2 linked regions of the Mytilus edulis genome follow. The protein of the gene in region 2 binds, or shares a complex with, the protein of the main gene of each other region. Links are inferred from orthologs where the notes say so. Each region holds a gene or a part of one and is shown on either strand. Other genes may lie near its edges.

What was found.
Region 1: the proteins of zinc transporter Slc39a7-like (region 2) and protein-L-histidine N-pros-methyltransferase-like are in contact, whole or in part, in a crystal structure (PDB 8GZE), measured with the Homo sapiens proteins. The link is inferred for Mytilus edulis from reciprocal best matches to the Homo sapiens genes SLC39A7 and METTL9. Residues at the interface, in NP_001070984.1 of Homo sapiens: Gly65, His66, Thr67, His68, Glu69; in NP_057109.3 of Homo sapiens: Arg114, Thr115, Asn118, Arg123, Gly124, Met126, Met179, Asn210, Asp213, Arg214, Val241, His245, Tyr247, Glu249, Trp255, Tyr295, Leu296, Cys297, Glu298, Asp300, Tyr306, Val307, Leu308.

Annotation. Positions count from the first base shown.
Region 1 is NC_092348.1:52,997,221-53,007,883, reverse strand, and holds the start of protein-L-histidine N-pros-methyltransferase-like, read right to left. Parts: upstream 4,710-10,663; 5' UTR 4,547-4,709; coding exon 4,367-4,546; intron 2,935-4,366; coding exon 2,744-2,934; intron 2,179-2,743; coding exon 2,078-2,178; intron 1-2,077. UniProt on the Homo sapiens protein: Protein-histidine N-methyltransferase that specifically catalyzes 1-methylhistidine (pros-methylhistidine) methylation of target proteins.
Region 2 is NC_092345.1:44,233,679-44,244,315, forward strand, and holds the start of zinc transporter Slc39a7-like, read left to right. Parts: upstream 1-6,376; 5' UTR 6,377-6,472; coding exon 6,473-7,301; intron 7,302-8,496; coding exon 8,497-8,702; intron 8,703-10,637. Other genes in the region: ataxin-2 homolog, read right to left, coding at 1-18. UniProt on the Homo sapiens protein: Transports Zn(2+) from the endoplasmic reticulum (ER)/Golgi apparatus to the cytosol, playing an essential role in the regulation of cytosolic zinc levels.

The sequences.
Region 1 (10,663 bases), on a different chromosome or scaffold from region 2:
AACCATTCCGTCACCAGCACCTGTAATTTAGACAACAATTTTCCAGTTTAATGATCTATGGCCATTATATCTGTAACCATTCCGTCACCAGCACCTGTAATTTAGACAACAATTTTCCAGTTTAATGATCTATGGCCATTATATCTGTAACCATTCCGTCACCAGCACCTGTAATTTAGACAACAATTTTCCAGTTTAATGATCTATGGCCATTATATCTGTAACCATCCCGTCACCAACACCTGTAATTTAGACAACAATTTACCAGTTAAATGGTCTATGGCCATTATTTCTGCAACCATTCTGTCACAAGCACCTGTAATTTATAAAACAATTAACCAGTTCAATGATCTATTTTGATGCATTCTATGCAGATTTCTAGATTTTCCTGCATGATGTACTCATCAACTAAAATTTGTACATATAAATTCATGGGTAGTTTTCAAATCAAAACAGGGCAACCATAAAAAAAATCCATTAGGCCCAACTTAGGTACCTTTCTTCCAGTAAAGCCTTCAAACCTTTTTAGAGGATTAATCAAAATTACTGTTACTGGTATTCCTGTACTTTTATACAACTCTCAGCCAAATGGGTTAGAAGTGTATAGACCAAAGTTAATTAAATTGTGAAGTGCAATAACCAGCCATTTCAGGTGGCATCCAATTATTGGGAGTAAGACTGTAAGTTGATGCTTTGGTTGGCATATGTGATCAGTTTGTTTAACACAAGAAAAACCAAAGCACATAGGCGAGAAACAAATATTCCCTTTGCTTGCTCATGATTAGCGATATTTTAGATTCTCAATATATAATTTTAGATTTTAACATGTTCTACTAAAAGGAGTATGTTCGGTAAGGTCCTAAAATGGCCTACTTTTTTAGCGTAAATTTCAAATTAGGATTTATTGACCAATTTCACAATTAATTATAGCTAATGCAGTGACTAGACAGGAAATAAGCCATTTTGTTGAAAAATTTACGTTTCTGCGTTTTATTATGACGTCACAAGTTGTACTCATATTGATTTTTCACGAAAATGTCAATGAAAATGGGTAAATTTCCATAGATTATTGGACAGGAAACATAGAGTGCATACGTCGACAACAATGATCTTTTAAAATATTGTTTGTGAAGACATTTCACATGTCTCATTTGAATATTAAGTTTGTCGACGCCTGCGCTCTATGTTTCCGGGTCCTTAATTTGGTTGAAAATTGAAAATCGGCTGATTTTGTCAAATTTCACCCATATCCTTTATCTTGACCTTTTTGAAATGTAAAATCAACGTGTTAGAATTAAACTTTGACAAAAATAGTTCTGGTTAACTTTCTCACATGTCTTTAAGGCAACTTAAAAAATTTATAATCTTGTAACTATGAACTTTATAATTGGGGCCAAATATGGCCCTTACCGAACTTACTCCTTTGGTGGACATTTCCCAAATTAGTACGAACTGCGTATTGTGTTAATAAGCATAAAAATTATGTCCAGTGGCTGATCCAGCTCACAATTGTTTCTGATACATACGAATGTTTTATTGCCATTTATTAGTTTGTTTTCTTGTCTACTGATTGAGGTGACAGAAAACTAGTTGAACCCACTTCAGTGGTTCTGTTTAGTGACATCATAATTTTTTCCATCGTTTATGGAATGGTTTTGATAGAATACCACTTATATTGTAGAGATACTTGTCTATTGTTGAAGACTTAATGTTGACCTCAAGATGTCTGAGTTTTGTGTTGTTGGGTTCCTCTCACTATTGTATATATACCACATTTCCCTTTATCTAAACAAGCATAATACTTTTATTTTTCACTGCTTCATTTTTAGTTAAATGGGAATACTGTAAACCAACTTATTTTTGGGAGCGATTTATTTTTTTGTGACTTTCACGAGTAGCGCTTATATAAATCATCATAAATATGTTAAACTTGTTTCTTTCCTCATTAAACTACATCAAGGAAATTAGAAAATCACAAATATAAATAGCCGCAAATTGGATTAGAAAGCGTAAAACGTGAAATAAAGTATCTGCAAAAATAAGTTGATTTACAGTAGTCCTTTTACTTTTCTCTTACCAAGATCTAGTAACCTATTTCCTTTCCTGTCTGGTGCTACATGTAACATCTGTCTAAGCTGATCTTTGGAAAATACAAACATTGATCCTCTTTTTAATAATCTAACGAAAAAAAAAATGTATACTCTTAATTAAAAAACACCTTAGTATAAAAGCTCTTTAAAATGAAAAGCTTTTACTTTAAAAAAAAAAAAAACAAGTGTTTTAATAGGGTGGATACTCTATATACATGTAATCTATAAATTAAAATGCCTTTTCTGTAGTATTGTTGTTTGTTGGTTTTCCTTTTTAAATAGTTTTACACTACCGGTAGTCACTTTTGTGGCCTTTATAGCTTGCTCTTCGTAGTGAGGCTCTGTGAGCTATAACGGTTTACTTTTACAAATTGTGACTAGGATGGAGAGTTGTCTTATTGGCACTCATACCACATTTTCTATAACTGTATAGTGGAGTATTTTCACATGGTACTTATTTTGGCTCATTTTGGCAGGTCAGGGGAAATCTTTATGTGTGCTTCGATACTTTCTAATAGCTAAAGCGTTTGTAAAATATTTGTTTCTCCCTGTTCGACCAATTAATAATGGTTTATGTTTATCTAAACCTCCTAAATACCTTTGCATGCTATTTCAAGACTTTGTATACACAGTGCTTTATTAGAGAGCATTACCCATTAATCGAGGTGCTTGACATAAACCAACCAAGTACAGATTTACAGATGGAATGACCTAGCTGAGTAAATAACCAATCAGATTTTTCATAACATTGGTTTAGGAACTGGCTTGTTTCTTCATCCTGGTTAAACTGTAAAAACTTTGCACAAATCTCTTCTGGAACTTTGGACAGGTCAACTGTATACCACTTTGAAAGAAAAAAAATCAACTTCAATAAATCATGTTTATTTTATACTGGAGTTACTTTTTTTGATTCTGAGTTGATGTCACATCTACAAATGTAGATTCTGAATGATTCAGTTCTTGGCTTACAGTGGTTTCATTTATTTTTTTGAGGTATCAATTTTTCGTGGATTAAGGAAAACTTACATTTTCGTGGATATTTGATTTGGTGGTTTTGCAAATCTCTGCATACAAAGCCTATTAGAAATTTGTTATTCATTGAACATTTGATTTCGCAGTTCACCTGTAACCATGAAACCCATGAAAATTAGTATCAAACAAATGTTCATGTAAAGAACATTGTACCTGTATGGTCATTTGTCAATTTTTGAAAATCATAAAACAAGTACAGAGTGTGGCTATAAGTATTCATCACTTTAGATTTTTCGCTATACATTGTATATTGTATATAAAAGTACATTTTTTCAAAAAATATTTTGAGGTCATTTTTGGTTTGATTTTAACCAATAGAAGCAGAATTGTCACATGCTTATTTGTTTATTTGGTTATATTTTTTGTGGATCATTTTCATTTTTTCACAAGATAAATACAAATATTATTTTCTGTTCAGAAATTCGCTGTATATTCAACCAAATTAAATTATAAAAATTTATTGTATGTGTTCACATCAAGAGAAAACAATAACACCCGAAGACAAAACTATCACCAAATAAACAAACAAACAATTCTACTTCTTTTAAAGCCTTGTTCATAAAAATCCAACCATAAATGCCCTCAAAATATTTTTTTGAAAAATTGTTTTTATATGAAATATATATATATAAACAAAAATGCAATACTTTTGGCCAGGTACTGTACATTGTATAAACTATTTTTTAAAGTTTATCATTCAACATACATATACTTCATTTTGAAAAAGTCTTTTGAAGCTAATCAATCCTCTAGAATAATGAACATTGTATTTTAAAAACAGTTTTAATTCTGGCATTTTATTATTCTCAGATCCGGACATCCTGGCATTTAAATTTTTCAAGGGGTGATGCAGATAGGATTCCTCTAGATTTTTCATCTATTTGAAGGTGATATCTGATTATTTATATTGCTGATTATTTTTTAACCAGAGGATATAGTATGATAAAAATCAAAATGGAGATATTATATAGTGTCTTTAACAATATTAAGTGGGTAAAATTACTAGATTCAACTGGTGTCAATATATATCAATTAAATTAATTTGCATTGAAGTCTATGGAAAATCTAGAGGATTCTCATCCGCATCACCTCTCAACATTGTTTACATAACAAAAATGCTAATCATTGATTGGTCAGTTACATGTTGTGATGTCACTGCAGATCTGAGAATTTGTACATCTCCCCATAACATTTTTTTTTTACATATGGATCTAGCCATGCTAGCTATTGCTAATAAAACATACGTCATCATGGGGATTATTCTTTTGTTTTTCATCCTCTCTCATTTTATTGTAAACTGAACGTAGCAATGGACTGCGAATATGACCAATTCCGGGGATTTGATCAGCTGCTTGGCTCATCCTGATATTAACTGCTGTCAACAGTTCTATGAATACACATCCCAGATAAATGGATAAGTTCATGAAATATTATGGACATATATTACTGAATTTTTATATATGTCTTTCTCTACGTTATCGTTTTACATATTCTTTTAAAGTCTAGATCAGTAAAATTGTCTGAATCAAAACAATAACTGACTGAGCTGTGTAAAACACATCTTCCGGTTTAAACGAAATGTGTATTCTCCCTTTTTTAGAAGTTTTGCAGCGGCAAATTTCAAATGAAAACTCAGCATATGAAGATGTTGGTCCCCTCCGTATAACATTCAGTATATGCCTTCGGAAAATACAAATATTGTCAAGAATTTCAATAACGGCCGAGAAAAAGACTAATGAAGATATTATCAGATATATTATATAGTCTTTCCAGCGCTATACTTGGCAAAATTTTCAGCCTAGTTGTTATAAAGAAACATATATGTGTTACCAGTTCTTATCTAGGACATGTAGGATTGGTAATTCTGTTTTTTTCACATCACATTATTTTTTCAAGGATTTGTAGATAAATATACGGGGGAGGGGGTGTTACTGACTGGCCTTTCGATGGTATAACTGTGCAGTGGCGGATCCAGGGGGGGGGGGGGGATTCCGGGGGTTGTAACCCCCCTTTTTTTGGCCGATCAATGCATTTGAATGGGAGCATATAGTTGGAACCCCCCTTTACTCTTTGTTGGGAACCCCCCCTTTTTTTAAATGGCTGAATCCGCCACTGCTGTGCCGACAGCACATGCAAAATCCTACCCTGTTCTAACCAGAAAACATTGAAAAACATACCTTGTTCTAAACACGCTCAGTATAGCCTACCCTGTTCTAGACCGTGTGAAATAGATGGTTCTAGACTGTATCTCAAACAGTTAAATAAGCGATCCTGTACTAGACAAATACTTTGTTTAAAAAGACCCTGTTCTCAACAGCGCTGCAGGCCGGCATGAAAATGCGACCCTGTCACAGTCTTACCAGCAGGACACAAAAAAGGGACCCTGTTCTAACCAGCAGGCCATGGAAAAGGGACCCTGTTTTGCTGCACACCCATACCACTAAAAATATAGGAAGCAACCCCCGGGATAAATATACTGTTCCCAGATTGACCAGACATTTGCGCTTTTTACCTCTACTCTTCAACAATCTTCAACCTATAATTTTAATGAGTTACGTAAATAAATTCAACTTGAATGTGTCGTTAGTAACTTAGCTAGTTCACATTGCCACAGTCTTAAACACTGAAAGGAATATAAAGTTATAGCAGGAACATACATGTCAACTGTTCCCAGGTTATATAGACAAGTACAGGGGAACAAAATATATATGTTATGATTGATTTTTATCGTATAGGGCCCGTTGTTGAAACCCAATCTCTAATTTGTTTGTTTTTGCTTTTATAACAGGACAATTCTAAAAATCTGAGTTGTTCCTAAAGTAAAGCACAACACGGTTGACGCAAGAGCCTTGGAAAGGAGTCAATGGCAAAAGTCTACAGATTACCTGACAGCAATCCTATCCCAAAAATGATAGAATTTGTTCATACCTTGCCACAACATAGTATGCATGGTGATATGTTTAAAAATATAATAAAATGATAGGTCACCGAGCATTTTCTGAAGCTACAGGTTGGGACAAAATGACAAGTTTTGTATGGATTATACAGTGAAAAAGCATTAATGTGATTAGAAGATAAATTAAATGATAGACTGATTGTAAAATAAAATACGAGAAGATATTTTTTATAACATGCTTTGAGATTATCAAAAGAAAAAATAGGGTCACCGTACGTTTTTTCTTGCTAAAATATGAAATAGCAAAATTTCAACAAGATTCCTTCAACCGTGAAATGCACTGTTTCAGAGTCACCTCCCTTTAAAATGCAAATTTTAAAACATTAAAAATCAAGCAAAAAATATAGTTGAACTATTGCTTATAGTTTAAGAAAAACAGACACATAATCTTAACACTATGCAATGAACCGTGAAAATGAAATAAAAAAGATCAAATAAAACTGCGAGACTGACATGTTCATCATAGAATATGTCCATACACCAAATATAGTTGACCTATTGCTTATAGTATTAGTAAAAAAGATCAAAACTCAAAAACTTAACTTTTACCAATGAACCATGAAAATGATGTCAAGGTTGATACCTGCCAGTTGGAAAATCAAATGTACACCTTACAATTATTCCATACACCAAATACAGTAGACCTATAATTGCATATATTATAGTAGTAAAAAAAGCTAGATCAAAATACAAAAACTTAACTATAACCACTGAACCATGAAAATGAGGCCAAGGTCAGATGGCACATTCCAGTTGGAAATGTACACCCTTTACAATCCTTCCATACACCAAATATACTATAAATATGCTTTATATATCATCTGAGATATGGACTTGACCACCAAAACTTAATCTTGTTCACTGATCCATGAAATGAGATCGAGGTTGAAAACTGTGTGGCGGGCATGAGGACCTTGCAAGGTATATAAACACATACCAAATATAGTTTTCCTACTACTCATAATAAGAGAGAAATCAACATTAAAAAAACTTTTTTTCAAGTAGTCACTGAACCATGAAAATGAGGTCAAGGCAAATGGACATGTGACAGACAGAAAGTTCGTAACTTAAGGCATCCATATACAAAGTATGAAGCATCCAAGTTTTCCACTTTCTAAAATATCAAGCGTTTAAGAACTTTTAAAAGTGATCTAACAACGCCGCCGCCGGAGCACTGTCCCTATGCCGAGCTTTCTGCGACAAAAGGCGCAGGCTCGATAAATATACTAATAGTTATAAGTTAACATCTTAACAATTTGTTCTTTTAAAGGAAAATTCACATTAGTTATGTGCGTTCCTGCATCAAATTTTGCTAACTTGATTGGAAATCTTGACCTTAGTATCTCTGTTATTTACAACCCAAGACGGAGAAAGACACCAATACTACTTCGTGTACGTTAGATGACACTAGTATCGTGCGACATTTCAATACAATGATCAATATAATACTTCCATGGTGAGAAAAATAGAAAAACACGCGAGTAAGAGAGCACGGAAACCGCCATAACCGAAAAAGAGATTGAAGTATGTCTGATAAAAGTTTTTTTTTTTTTAGAATTCCTAGATAAACCAGTCGCATCTTATCATTACAACATACATCCTCTCCTTTAGCCCCTTGCATCAGTTGCTTTCTAAGACAAACTGTTGTATATACGTAATGCTTTGTAGACAAACTCATGTTAAAACTTCCTTTTTTGTTGATTTTTTATATCACATGTAAGCATCTGGGTACCTTATTTAAAGAGTGCTATTCTAATATTTATCGAATGTGTATTCTTTTTTATTTCAGCACAATCAACTTTCTTACATTATATATTATATCCAGACTGTATACAGTGATTGATTAAAAATCAGATCTTAGTTGCCCACACGAGGATTAAAGATTGAAACAGAACTATTGCAATTGTATTACGCCACATCTTTATCAAATTTTGTATATTTAGGAAGACACACAGTACAATACAGAATTACCTATTAATGATCAATTAAGGTTGAAAAATGGTTCGTTGTGCAAGTAGAGATCAGGAACCGTCAATTATGGCTTAAATCGCAATACCAATGCAACATTTTAAAATTGAATTTGATATAGATAATTTTTGTATGCAAGACTATCTATAATTACGATTTGATTTGGCCCCATCAATCGAAGGCTTAATTTCACATCACTATACATTAAGAAAAGCTATGATTGTCATCCCCGGGGAAGCGATGGTAATTAATCAGATGACAAAGGTTCCCGTAATTACGGATCTTTCATTTACGAATGATCTGTTTTGCTTTTGAATAATCCCTTCATTTCCATCATTTTATGACTTTTGTTTCAAGCTTTGCATAACGACATCCCCTGGCCATCTAAAACTCGGCCAATGTTTTTTAGGGAGGGCGTAAATTACATCATTTTTCATTAAAAACAATAGTTTACTTCGTTAGTCTACCTTGTTGGACTCTGATTGCGAATTAACAGGGAGCATTTCATTTATGTTGTTCTGGAATTCCACAGAAAATGCAACATTAATGTAGGAGAAATGAGACAATTAACGAAAATAAATTTATCTATTTCATTCGATTTTTACCAATTAGGCGAACCACTGAAGCTATTATCATATGGTATTCACCACAAAAATTCACAATTATTAAGATAGATTGAGTTGAAATTCCAAATTACGCCGATAATGCGTTGTATAAAATTCCCCAATTAAGTCTTATTTTGAAAATATGATATAATTAAACAGTCTAAGAAAACGCTATCCCTAAATCAAATATGGTCTGATTCATGTGATTATTATTCATTTAAGAAATCCATTTGTAAATTGTTGTGTATTTGTCTTTCCATCAACAATAACAACTAAACACGGCACTAGTAATTGTGATTTTGCTACGTGGTCATCTTAGAATGCTTTTTAAAATTGTTATTCATAATGTGAAAAATAAATTTCCGTTATTTTCATATCTAATACATTAACATAACAGAACAAAAGAGATTGCAGTTAAGAAGAAATAGTGCCATAATGATAGTGATACTGCTTTCCTAATTTTAATTTCCTTGCTCAAATCATTGGTCATCCCTTTGATAGCTGGACTGTATATGTACGTGTCTTTTACTTTTAGTTTATATATGTGGTCTAGAAGTGCAAAGGGGAAGTATGTGGGCAAGTATAACTTGTTTAGACCACAACACAATGTGCCTGTACCAAAGAAGACTATTTGGGCCATGTGTTCGCTGTCGCCGTGTTGTTTTTGTTTGTAGTCGTTTGTTGAATCGCTCGAGCATCACTGAGTTATGTTAACTGTATATCATTTCCCTCACATGCAGAATACAAGAGATTGCAGCTAAGTAGAAATAGTGTATTTCGGATACTGCTTCCCAAATTGTAATTTCCTTACTCAAATTAGTGGCCATCCTACAATCGACAAAGTGCGCAGTGGCGGATCCAGGGGGGGGGGGGGTTCCGGGGGTGCGCACCCCCTTTATTTTTGCCGATCAATGCATTTGTATCGGGACATATGTTTTGCACCCCCCTGCACCCCCCTTTGCCCTGGGTTAGCACCCCCCCTTTCGAAAATTCCTGCATCCGCCCCTGGTGCGTGTACATAGAGTCTAACAAAAAAAAGTAAAATCACAAAAATACTGAACTTAGAGGAAAATCAATTCGGAAGTCCATAATCACATGGCAAAATCAAATAACACAACGCATCAAAAACGAATGGACAAGAACTGTCATATTCCTGACTTGGTACAGGCATTTTCAAATGTAGAAATGGTGGCTTAAGCCTGGTTTACACCAAATAGCCCAAATTCATGTCACAACTTAATGTAGAATACTTTTACAAGAAAATGCAACAATTCATAACAGAACTTTAGTATATTATTTTAAAACGCGAACACATTCTATTTTTTTTTTCAATTATCCAATATATTTGGCAGATATATACTGGTAGAAAATTTAAAAAGAATGTCACTCTTTTTCCTCCCGTTCTCCTGAATTCACCTCGATTTTGTACAAAATAATTTTCTAGCAGAATATTATAATATATTAAAAGTGGCTGCGAAAACCAGAATCATTATATTGAGACCGTTAAACTTGATTTAACCCGAAGAATTCCTTTTGTTATTGTTTTGCATAATATTTAGTAAGAAATTCTTAAACTTTGTAGTTCAAATCAATTGAAAGCATAGTGAAGACGGACAGGGAATACAATTTAATAATTGATTCTAATTGTTGCAGTTCCTCCTGTGGTAATGATGATTTTCGTATACAAAAAGTCTTATAAATACCGAGCTCCTTAGTAAATTTCAACCCCTGAAAAGTAAAATCACAAAAATACTGAAAACCAAGGAAAATTCAAAACGGAATTTTCCGAATCAAATGGAAAAATCAAAAGCTCAAAAACATCAAATGAATGGATAACAATAGTCATATTCCTGACTTGGTACAGGATTTCTTTTTGTAGAAATAGTGGGTTAAACCTGGTTTTATAGCTAGCTTAACCTCTCACTTTTATGACAGTCGCATCGAATTCTATTATATTGACAACGATGTGTGAACAAAACAATCAGACACAATAAGTAAAAATGTCAAAAATA
Region 2 (10,637 bases):
AATAAAACTAGTTCTCATCTTGTATCATAATGTGAAAAGAAATATAATTAAGATAATTAATTATGAAAACGTTATGTACATATTTAGACTAGAATGATAATGAAGTTTTGTCATTAAAATTTAGTTTTTGTTGATGGTTTCACTCATGCATATAATTGTATAATTAATTAAATTTAAAGGAATAAACAATTTGCGGTTGTTCTGAATACAGACACGACAGCTATTTTATGCAGTTACACGTTAAAGGTGAATCGAAAGGACAGTTGGCAGTTTTGAGCCATTTTAAATTTAAAAAATAATAGGTGTTGTTAAAGCATAAATTGATTAGTGGCTTATCAATTTACAACCAGTTTAAACTTAAGATTAAAGACAAAGTACCATTTTTTTGCAAGTACTAGTCGAAATGTAGGTAACTATATGGGTTGAACATCTCTATTTTATAAAACAACTAGTATATAAATTAATATAATAAAATAATGGAAATGATTTCATTCACATTAAATATCTTTCAGTTTCTTTTTCACAAATAATAATAATATATATGATCAAAATATATGGCAATCTATCAAAATATTTAATCATATATAAAATTGATTCCTTCAAATACAATGACTGTTGACGTACTCCACTATTGAAACACATATTTCATAAATACTGACCGTCATGTAACATGTGTAAAATGTTTATTTCAATTTTTCACAATTTAATCCTACAATGTTGACACATACAGAGAATAATAAAAAAAATAGATGAAGGTCACTAAATAAATATGAGTGTCTCAAGAGTCATACACTAACTAATATATAGAAGACATTTTGTTTTCTTTCAAAATTTAACAATATAAGGTAATGGGAAAATCTGGATTCAGTTTTTTTTGTCATCTGCGTGACCACAATAATAGTTTCTTCGTCAAATTGGGAATAAGAATATCATTTATGAATAAACCATATCCTCTTAACTAAAACAAAGTAAATAAAGGGGCAAACTATCCCACTGGGATTAAAGAGCAGTTTCCGTTTGAAATTGAACAAGCGCGGAAAAAGCTTTATCCTATCTTAAAGAAAGCCAAACAGGACGGCAAAATGGCAAGCCTGGTACGGGATAAACTATTTATAAACGGGAAATTATACATGGAAGAGAAAATAAAGACACATTCTCAAACACCGGCAAAAATGACACAACAGAAAATTGAGGCAACCAACCAGTGAGAGCCCGCCAATCCCACCGAGATCAAAACGAGCTAGGACTGAGTCAGATAACAGCCATATAAGAAGAAATCTCAGAAACAGTGATTCCATACCTTCTCCATCAACACATGCGAACAACACACAACCAAACCAATATTAGAGTGGCCACGGAGAACAACCAGCTAGACAACATACAAAAACGAATATTGAAAATGATTTTAAAAGCAGTAATATATTCTCACTCCCGAATTCAGACATTTATAATGCTTCGACTTCAACCAGTAGCGATACATGTAACAGTCCTAGAAAAAATATTTCAGCTGGTAGTGATCTAAACATTTTATGCCTGAACTGCTGTGGAATAAAGTCTCGCGTGAATTATCCAGAATTTAAAGACATTATAGATAATCATGAAATAGTATGTCTTGTAGAAACTAAAACCGATGACATTGATGTGATAAATCTTCCCGGTTATGAATTCAAAATGAAAAACAGGAAAAAAGTTACGAAAACGAGATCGGGTGGTATTACAGTTGGCTACAAAGAACATTTGAAGACAATGATAGAAATAATAGACACAGAATGTAAATATGTAATGTGGTTTCAAGTTAACGGTAAAGCTTTTAATTTAGATAAACCCGTTGTTTTTGGAGTCGTTTACATACCTCCGGAATATACTAGGTATTCCTCAGATGAAGCTGTTAATGAGATTGAACAAGAATTTCTACGCTTTTCGAACATTTCAAATTACATATGCCTCTTAGGGGATTTTAATGCCAGGACAGGTTGTGATGATGATTTTGTAATTATAATGAAGATGAACATGGTGATAATAACTTGTCTGACTTTATCGAAAACCCTATTAATGCTCTAGAAGCTCTGTCTATTCCCACGAAGAGGGAAAGTATGGATAAAGGAAAAAATAGATATGGCAATATGCTGTTAAATTTTTGCAAAGGCAACGGGGTTTTTAATACTAAATGGAAGATTGGGAAGGGATCAAAATATCGGGCGATTTACTTGTCGTAATGCCAGTGTAGTTGATTATTGTATAAGCACTCCTGAACTTTTGAAAACGTTTAAGGACTTTGAAGTTTTAGATTCAAGTAAGTTATTGTCAGATGTTCATAACCCACTCTCTATTACTTTTTTCTGTGATAAAAACTTGGCAATTGCCCATGCGGAAAATGTCGATTATTTTAGTAAAAAGAATACGTTTACGAAGATAAAAAGATGGAATTCTGAAAAGATAAAAGATTTTCAAAATAATATTGATGTAGAAAAAATAGCAGAACTTGAATACAAACTTACAAATACTGATTTAACTGTAGTGAATAAGAACATCATTAATTCACTTATAGATGATCTGTGTAATATTTTTGTCAAGTCTGGGAAGACAACTTTTGGTACTTATACTGTAAAACAGACTAAGAAAAGGGGAGATTTTGGAAATAAGAATAAACCCTGGTTTGATGAGGAATGTAAATTTGCACGTCAAAATTACAGGAAATTAAAAAGACGTTTCAAGTCCAAAAATCATTCTAAAAACCATTCAGACATGTTAAATGCCGAAAAAGCGTATAAAAACATTCTCGATAGCAAATTTAGAAACTTTAGAAAAGATCTTTCAGATAAAATTCAAAATTTGCGTGGCAAAAATCCGAAAGAATATTGGAAAATTTTAAATCAGAATAAAAGAAAGAAACAACCCGATATTGACATTGGAAAATTACACGATTTTTTCAAAAATTTAAACGCTGCACCGGAAGATGAAAAAAATGTGCAACTTCCAGAGATCAATCCCATGCAATGTGAACAGATGAATGAACATATAAATTCGCCTTTTTCAAAAGATGAAATTCTCCAGTCTATTAAAAAAACTGAAGAATGACAAAGCTTGAGGTGAAGACGAAATTATAAACGAATACATAAAATCCACATCAAACCAGTTTTTATGCATTTATGAGAAACTTTTTAATATTATATTTGATAAAGGTCTTATTCCACATAGGTGGCTTATAGGTACAATTAAACCAATTTATAAAAACAAAGGAAACTCCAAAGATCCAAAGAATTATAGACCAATTACTATCGTTAGCTGTCTGGGAAAACTATTTACAGCAGTTTTGAATAAAAGACTTAATGATTTTTCAGAAGAGTTTACCTTAATACAAGAAAATCAAAGTGGTTTTCGGCAAAAATATTCTACTACAGATAATATTTTTACCTTGTATTCTTTTTTTGAATTATTGAAATGTAGGAAAAAGAAATTATATTGTGCCTTTATAGATTTTGAGAAGGCTTTTGACACTGTATGGCGAGATGGTTTGTTTTATAAAATGTTGTTAAATAATATAAATGGTAAGATGTATAAGGTTATATCTAATATATACTGTGATACTAAATCTCGTATATCATACAATAATTGTAATTCAGAATACTTTGCTTGTGACAACGGCGTACGACAAGGAGAAAACTTATCACCTTTCCTATTTTCTTTATATTTAAACGATTTAGAAGATTTCTTGGTTAGTAAAAATATTACAGGACTTAAAACCTTATCAGAAGACCTTGAAAGAGAATTAAAAATACATCTAAAACTTTTTATCATATTATACGCAGATGACACGGTGCTGTTGGCCGAAACAGCACAGGATCTGCAGACGCAACTCAATGCCTTTCATGACTATTGTAAGGTTTGGAAACTGAAAGTAAATGTTGACAAAACTAAAACCCTAGTATTTGGTTTGGGACGTTTGCCAAAAAATCTCCAATTTACTTATAATGGCATAAGCATTGAGTTAGTAAAGCAGTTTAACTATTTGGGTATTGTTTTTACTAAAACAGGAAACTTTAATATGACTAAAAAATATTTATCCGATAAGGCCTTAAAAGCCATGTACGAAGTCCTGAAAATAGGAAGGATGTATCAGCTTTCTGTTAAATGTCAGCTTGACCTTTTTGACAAAATGATCAAGCCCATTCTATTGTATGGGTGCGAAATATGGGGCTTTGGTAATAATGATATCCTTGAAAAGATTCATTTAAAATTTTGTAAAATTCTTTTAAACTTGAAATCCTCAACGCCAAATTATATGGTTTACGGGGAACTAGGTCGTCATCCGATCGAAATAGATATTAAAGTTCGAACAGTACTATTCTGGGCAAATTTGATATCCGGTAAACAAGCAAAGTTTTCCTTCATATTATATCAACTTTCTCGTCATATGAACGAGCACCATAATGTCCAGATAAAATGGATCCTGTTTATACAAAAAATATTTCAAGATTGTGGTTTCTCATACATATGGGAGTCACAAAATTTTGTTAATAAAGAATGGTTAAAAACTGTTATAAAGCAGAGATTGCTAGATCAATATATTCAGAACTGGAATTCCCTCATTCAAAATTCACCAAAAGGTATTAACTACAAAAATTTTAAGAAAAACTTGGAATTCGAAGAATATTTTAATATTTTGGACTTCGAAGACGCTATTGTTTTTTGTCGATTTAGAACGACTAATACTAAGCTGCCGATTGAAACAGGAAGATGGCAAAACGTGATCAGAGAAAACCGCTTTTGCAGTCTATGCAACAATCGACAAATAGGTGACGAATATCATTTTATATTTGAATGCAATTTTTTCCATCAAAAACGCAAAGAGTTTTTAACTGAATATTTTACAAAACGGCAAAATACAGTTAAATTCTCTGAACTTATGTCAAGTACAAGAAAACCAGTTCTGAAGAAGCTTTGTTCTTTTATAAAAAATATAAATACTAGTGTTTGTACTCCTGGCTTGTAACTTTTGTAACCTCTCTCGCTTGTTTTGTACATATTGTAAATATTTATTGTTGTATCTGTTATCTCTGTACCGATGTAATGCATTGGCTTTATGAGAATAAAGATATATAGCCATCGTCTAATTATTCGAAGAAAAACATCGCAATCAGTGTTTCAAGTAATTGCTTGTTTGCTGAGAAGGGGACTAAGACTAACGAAAGAAGTACTCGTACTTATAAAATATTTGAAAGAATTAATTATTATAGATGAATAAGTAAGTCAGGAGCCTCTGGTCTTTTCAGTCTTGTATGTCTTTTAATTTTACTTTGTTTATATGTTTCTCAGTTAAGTGTTACGTCAATTTCCACTGAACTAGTACACGTTTTTGATTAAGGACCAACTAACCTAGCTTCCTGGTGCAGGATTTTCTCGCTTTTTGGAAAACCCAGAGGTGGCATTGGGCTGTTTCAGTCTGATGTTTGATCGGGTTTTTGTCTCTTTGACACATTCTTATTTCCATTCTCACTTTTATCAGATAAGTACAAGATCTCTTGATGTACTAAACACGGTATTTTGAATTTAAAGTTTATTTGATAAATTTTGAGTGTTTTCATTCTGCAGTGTTGCATAGATTTATCTTTTTTTAAGACAAAAAGAAGAAAAAAAAAACAATAATCAACTAAAAACTCCAAATTTAAAGAACGCGTATATTCTAGAGAGCTCGACACTTCTTTCTCAACTAGTGAAATCGAACAGATATCATTTATCAATTTAACATGTACAGAACCCTGCCTTTTTATCATCCCGTCAGCTACATTTACCATGCAGTTCCGAGTGGTTTTCAGGGGTTATGGTAGTTCAAGAGAGAAACAAGTCAGGATGCCGGAGCAATTTGGCAATTTATGTAAAAAAAGGTCAGGATGAACTAAGGCCAGCAACCATTTGATTTTCGGGGGAGGGGGGGGGCTATGGATTTTTGTTTTCTTTTAAATTTAGCATTACATATAGTGGCAGCTGAGGGTGAAACAAACATTTTTTTTTCTCAGGGTCAAAAACAAATTACTATTTTTTCTCTGGAAACAAACTTTTTTCCAAAAAAATCCATACCCCCCACCCCCCCCCCCCCCCCCAACACACACACATCCACACAGAAAATCAAATGGTTGCTGCCTATTATAAAAGGAAGGACCGAATAGAGTGACAAGAGAAAAAGCCAGGGCAACGTTTTTCTTCTTAACCCTCCCCCTTCCCCCGAAAAATTCAAATGGTAGCTCCCTTACAAGTTATAACAATACTAAAGAAAATGAATCATTAATAAAAAAAAATGACAAATAAACGTAGAAAATTCCGATCATATGTAACCTAAATTGGAATCTGTTACGGGATAGCAAGACATAATTTAGCAACAGTAAATATTGCCGGCAAAGAGTTACGTCCCTTCCAAAACAAAAGCCACGTCTACTTTCGAACATACGAAAACAGATTTTTGTGCGATTAGAAGATGAACAGGGCTAAAAGGAACCATCGCAGTTTATTTTCAATTGCTTTTGTTATTATTCTGTCTGCAATTTTACTGAGGTCTGGCATTAACGCACACAACGGCCACGGACATACTCATTCTCATGACGAGCAAGATGAGCCCAATCCATCTTTTAAATATTCACAGCAAGCAAACGTAGATCATGACCACGGACATGCACATGATCACGCACACGATCATGGTCACGCACACAATCATGGACACGCACACGATCATGGACATACACACGACCATGCACACGATCATGGACACAAACATGATGCACCTACAAAATCTTCCAAGAAATCAACAGGATTGGTACTTTGGCTACAGGCTTGTGGTGCCACAGCTCTAATTAGTGTCTCACCAATTGTAATTCTTTTGTTTATTCCAATAGAAAATGCATATGATGCTAAAAATCAAAATTTACTGAAAATTCTTCTCAGTTTTGCATCTGGTGGTCTTCTTGGTGATGCATTTTTACATCTTATTCCTCATGCAGTTTCACCTCACTCACATGGAGATGGTGATGACCATGCACACTCACATTCTCATGGGCATTCTCATGGAGAAGGAGGACATGAGCATGGTCACGATATGACAGTTGGATTATGGGTCCTTGCTGGAATCGTTGTTTTCCTGATGGTTGAAAAATTTGTGAGGTATGTAAAGGGAGGACATGCTCACAGCCATGCACCACCAAAACCAGTCAAAAGCGAAAAGAAAGGTGAAGGTGATGAAGATGCAAAAGGCAAAGAAACTAAAGATTCAAAGAAAAAAATTGAAAAGACAGAAGAGAAACAAGTAACAGGTACATGTACCTTGATATCAAATTCCTTTTTATGAAATTTAAAAGTTAACGTTACACCAGTTGAATTATCGCTATCTCATACCAATGCTTATGTTTTTTGGTGCCTATAAATAGTCATAGGAATACTTTCACGCATGTGTAGCACACAGTACAGGAGGCACCTGTTTGACTCGTGACAACATTTTTGAACGTTAGCTTTTGAATAAAGTTCTATTTTAAATGGAATTTGTTGAAAGTTATGATGAAAATTTATATCAAATATGGCATAACTGCGTTCGAATGAATAATCTACGACAAACGAACTTCAAAATGTGATCGTTTGAGAAATATTGAAATTTCAATTCAAACTGTCCGTGGGTAAACAATTTGACGAAAATATATATACACCTGGTTGTTGAAATGCGGACTGACTGATTTTCCTGGGGAAAATAATTATGATGGTCATTAATGAGGTTTATTAATAATTAATGGATTAGTGACCCATCCGATGGTGATAATCGGATTACATGTAGTTGTAATCACAACTTGCAACACCTGTTGAAAATGTTAATTACCTGGGAGTCAAAAGTTGTCAAAAACATGAAGACCGGTAGATTTATAGTATTTTAGTAGGAAAATATTTTTGCACTTGCAAAATTTAAGTGACGAAATTAATTTGAAAAACTTTCGTCAATCAAAATCACTGCCTAATATTTTTTATACATGGACGTCTGCAAAACATTTTTTGCTTTCGTAAATGATATAATGTTGTCTGCATTGTCGTCTGCTGCATCGTTGCCTGTCTCTATGATATTTACCAGAAGGTTGAATACCATACACTGAAGGAAGGAAGTTAAGGAAGTAGGGGGCAAAAAAGGGGGGCTTATATAAGTATTGTAGTACTTTCCGTTCATTAACTTGTGTGTCAACAAGGTAAGTGTATTGATTTCAGTGAAATTACACCACAAGGTTTCATATCTAAAAGGGAAGGCTTTGATTGAGTTTTAAGGTAATTTCCCCAAATGTTTAGGAGTTAGAGTAAAGGGGTGAAGCATTTTTATTAGATCATTGACAATTTGGTCATGAATCCATCTGTGTTCTTTGTTTAATATATATGCACATATACCAAGGTGAGTGACACTGGCTCTTCAGAGCCTCTAGCATGTCTAGTTAAGTTTTCAAATAGTTGTTATCTATATTTCATGTATTTTTTCAGAACCTGAAGACATAAAAGTTGCTGGTTATTTAAACCTTGCTGCAGATGCTGCTCACAATTTCACAGATGGTTTGGCAATAGGTGCTTCTTTTCTAGCTGGTAGAAATATAGGAATTATTACAACTATAACTATATTCTTACATGAGATACCACATGAAATTGGAGACTTTGCAATCTTAGTAAAATCTGGGTGCACAAAGAGAAAGGTACAGTATATACATTTTTTAAGTGTTATGTGTCCGTATCATGGCGTATGTACATTTGTGAATTTCATAGAAATGCACCTTGTTGTATTGTCTAAATGATGGTAAAATTCTATATATAAATTTTAGCTATAATTCAGCCAACACTTTTGTTCTCGAAATCTTGATAAAATGGAGTTCATTTTAAGGTACCTTTTGATATCTATTTTTGATTTTTTCCTATATTTTAACCTTTCTGGCTTTTTATAACATACATAGAAAGCATTGCATTTGCAAAATTTGCTCTGCAACCACAATATACAAATGTACATGCCAATTATGATAAGACCATTAATTTTGAAATTGTACATCTCATGTCTTTTCTGGCAAAATATTTCTAATTAATTATTAATTTTACTACAAAGGTACACCTAAAAATTAACATAAACTTTTGTGTCATACATTTTTGTATATTTGAATAACATGTGAAAAATACAGAAAAAATGCTTATCTCGTCAAAAATAAATTTTTGAAGTTCCTATTAGAACAGGCATAAAAATAACAAAGCTATCTATATTCTATCTCTTTATAATTTTGATGTATTTTGTATTATATGTTGTAAAATAAGATACATTTAGTTTATGAAAATATTGTTTAATGTATAAAGTGGTTAAGTTTAAATTTAAAAATTTTAGATTTTATTTTCCCTTTTCTTGTGTTTGATTCTGATCTTTGTTATAGAGATTAGATTTACTATGGGGAATTGTGTATTTTGCATTTTTAACTCTACACTGAAATTAGCAAAATTGAACCCCTTGTGAACATTTACCACTTAATCTTTACATGTACAGTATCTCAAATTTGTATGCAGGATAAAAAGTGAAATGCAAGCTTCACCATGTGTCCACTTTGATTCTTTAAATTCTATTTGATAACTGTAAATTCAGAATTATTGCAATGTTTTTATTATTCCCAATAATGTGACAGGGATATAAATCGCAATTATTTAAACTCGCATTTTGATTTATTTTTTTATGAATTTAACAGAATTCTCATATTTAGGCGAGTGATATGAGAGCCAAATTTACATTTTTAATGCACCTACCTAACACACGGCTAAATTATATATCACTAGAAAGCTAAGAATGTGTACTTTCTAAATATCCCGGTCGTCAAAAGAAATTATGGTGCATTTTTTTTTAAATCGAGGTCAAAGGTCATGGGTGCAATTTCAATTCACGGATACTTCCAGTTGTAAAATCGAGTCAAAACAAATGCAAAAACGAAACAATTTTAAAGGAATGCTGTATTACTGTTGGGAAAATATATTTCTATTATAATATTAATTAATTTTGGTTGATTTTGACGGTAACGCATGTTACATAACGTTTTCTCTCGGAGTCTTTGAAAATCAACATTTAAGTCACACAAATGTATCTGTAGTCGCCCTTGCATTATCTAAATCATATAATACCTCCATATCATTTGATTGCACGTATTTACAAACATATATATCTGCAAATTTGATAAAAATAATCCGAAACAAAATATTTGAAGCAAGGGGAAAATATAACATATGACGTATTTTTAATTGTTTAGAAAAGTCCCATGATGAGCTGTTTATTAAAATTGAGGAAGCGTATGGTCTCCTGTTAGTTTGAAAGCCTGACAACCATAGAGCAGATTTTCTTTTATATATGTTGCAATATGTTGATATATAAAAAAGAAGATGTGGCATGATTGCCAATGAGACAACTATCCACAAAAGACCAAAATGACACAAACATTAACAACTCATACATCACTAAATCAGATATGATAAGAGTACTAACAAACATAACTAAAATGAGTAAAGTGCTACTGGTATATTTATATCAACAAATTGACAATTTTAATATAAAACATCACAAGGAAAATATGATCACTCATTGTACGTCAAAATGTGTTTGATTTTACTTC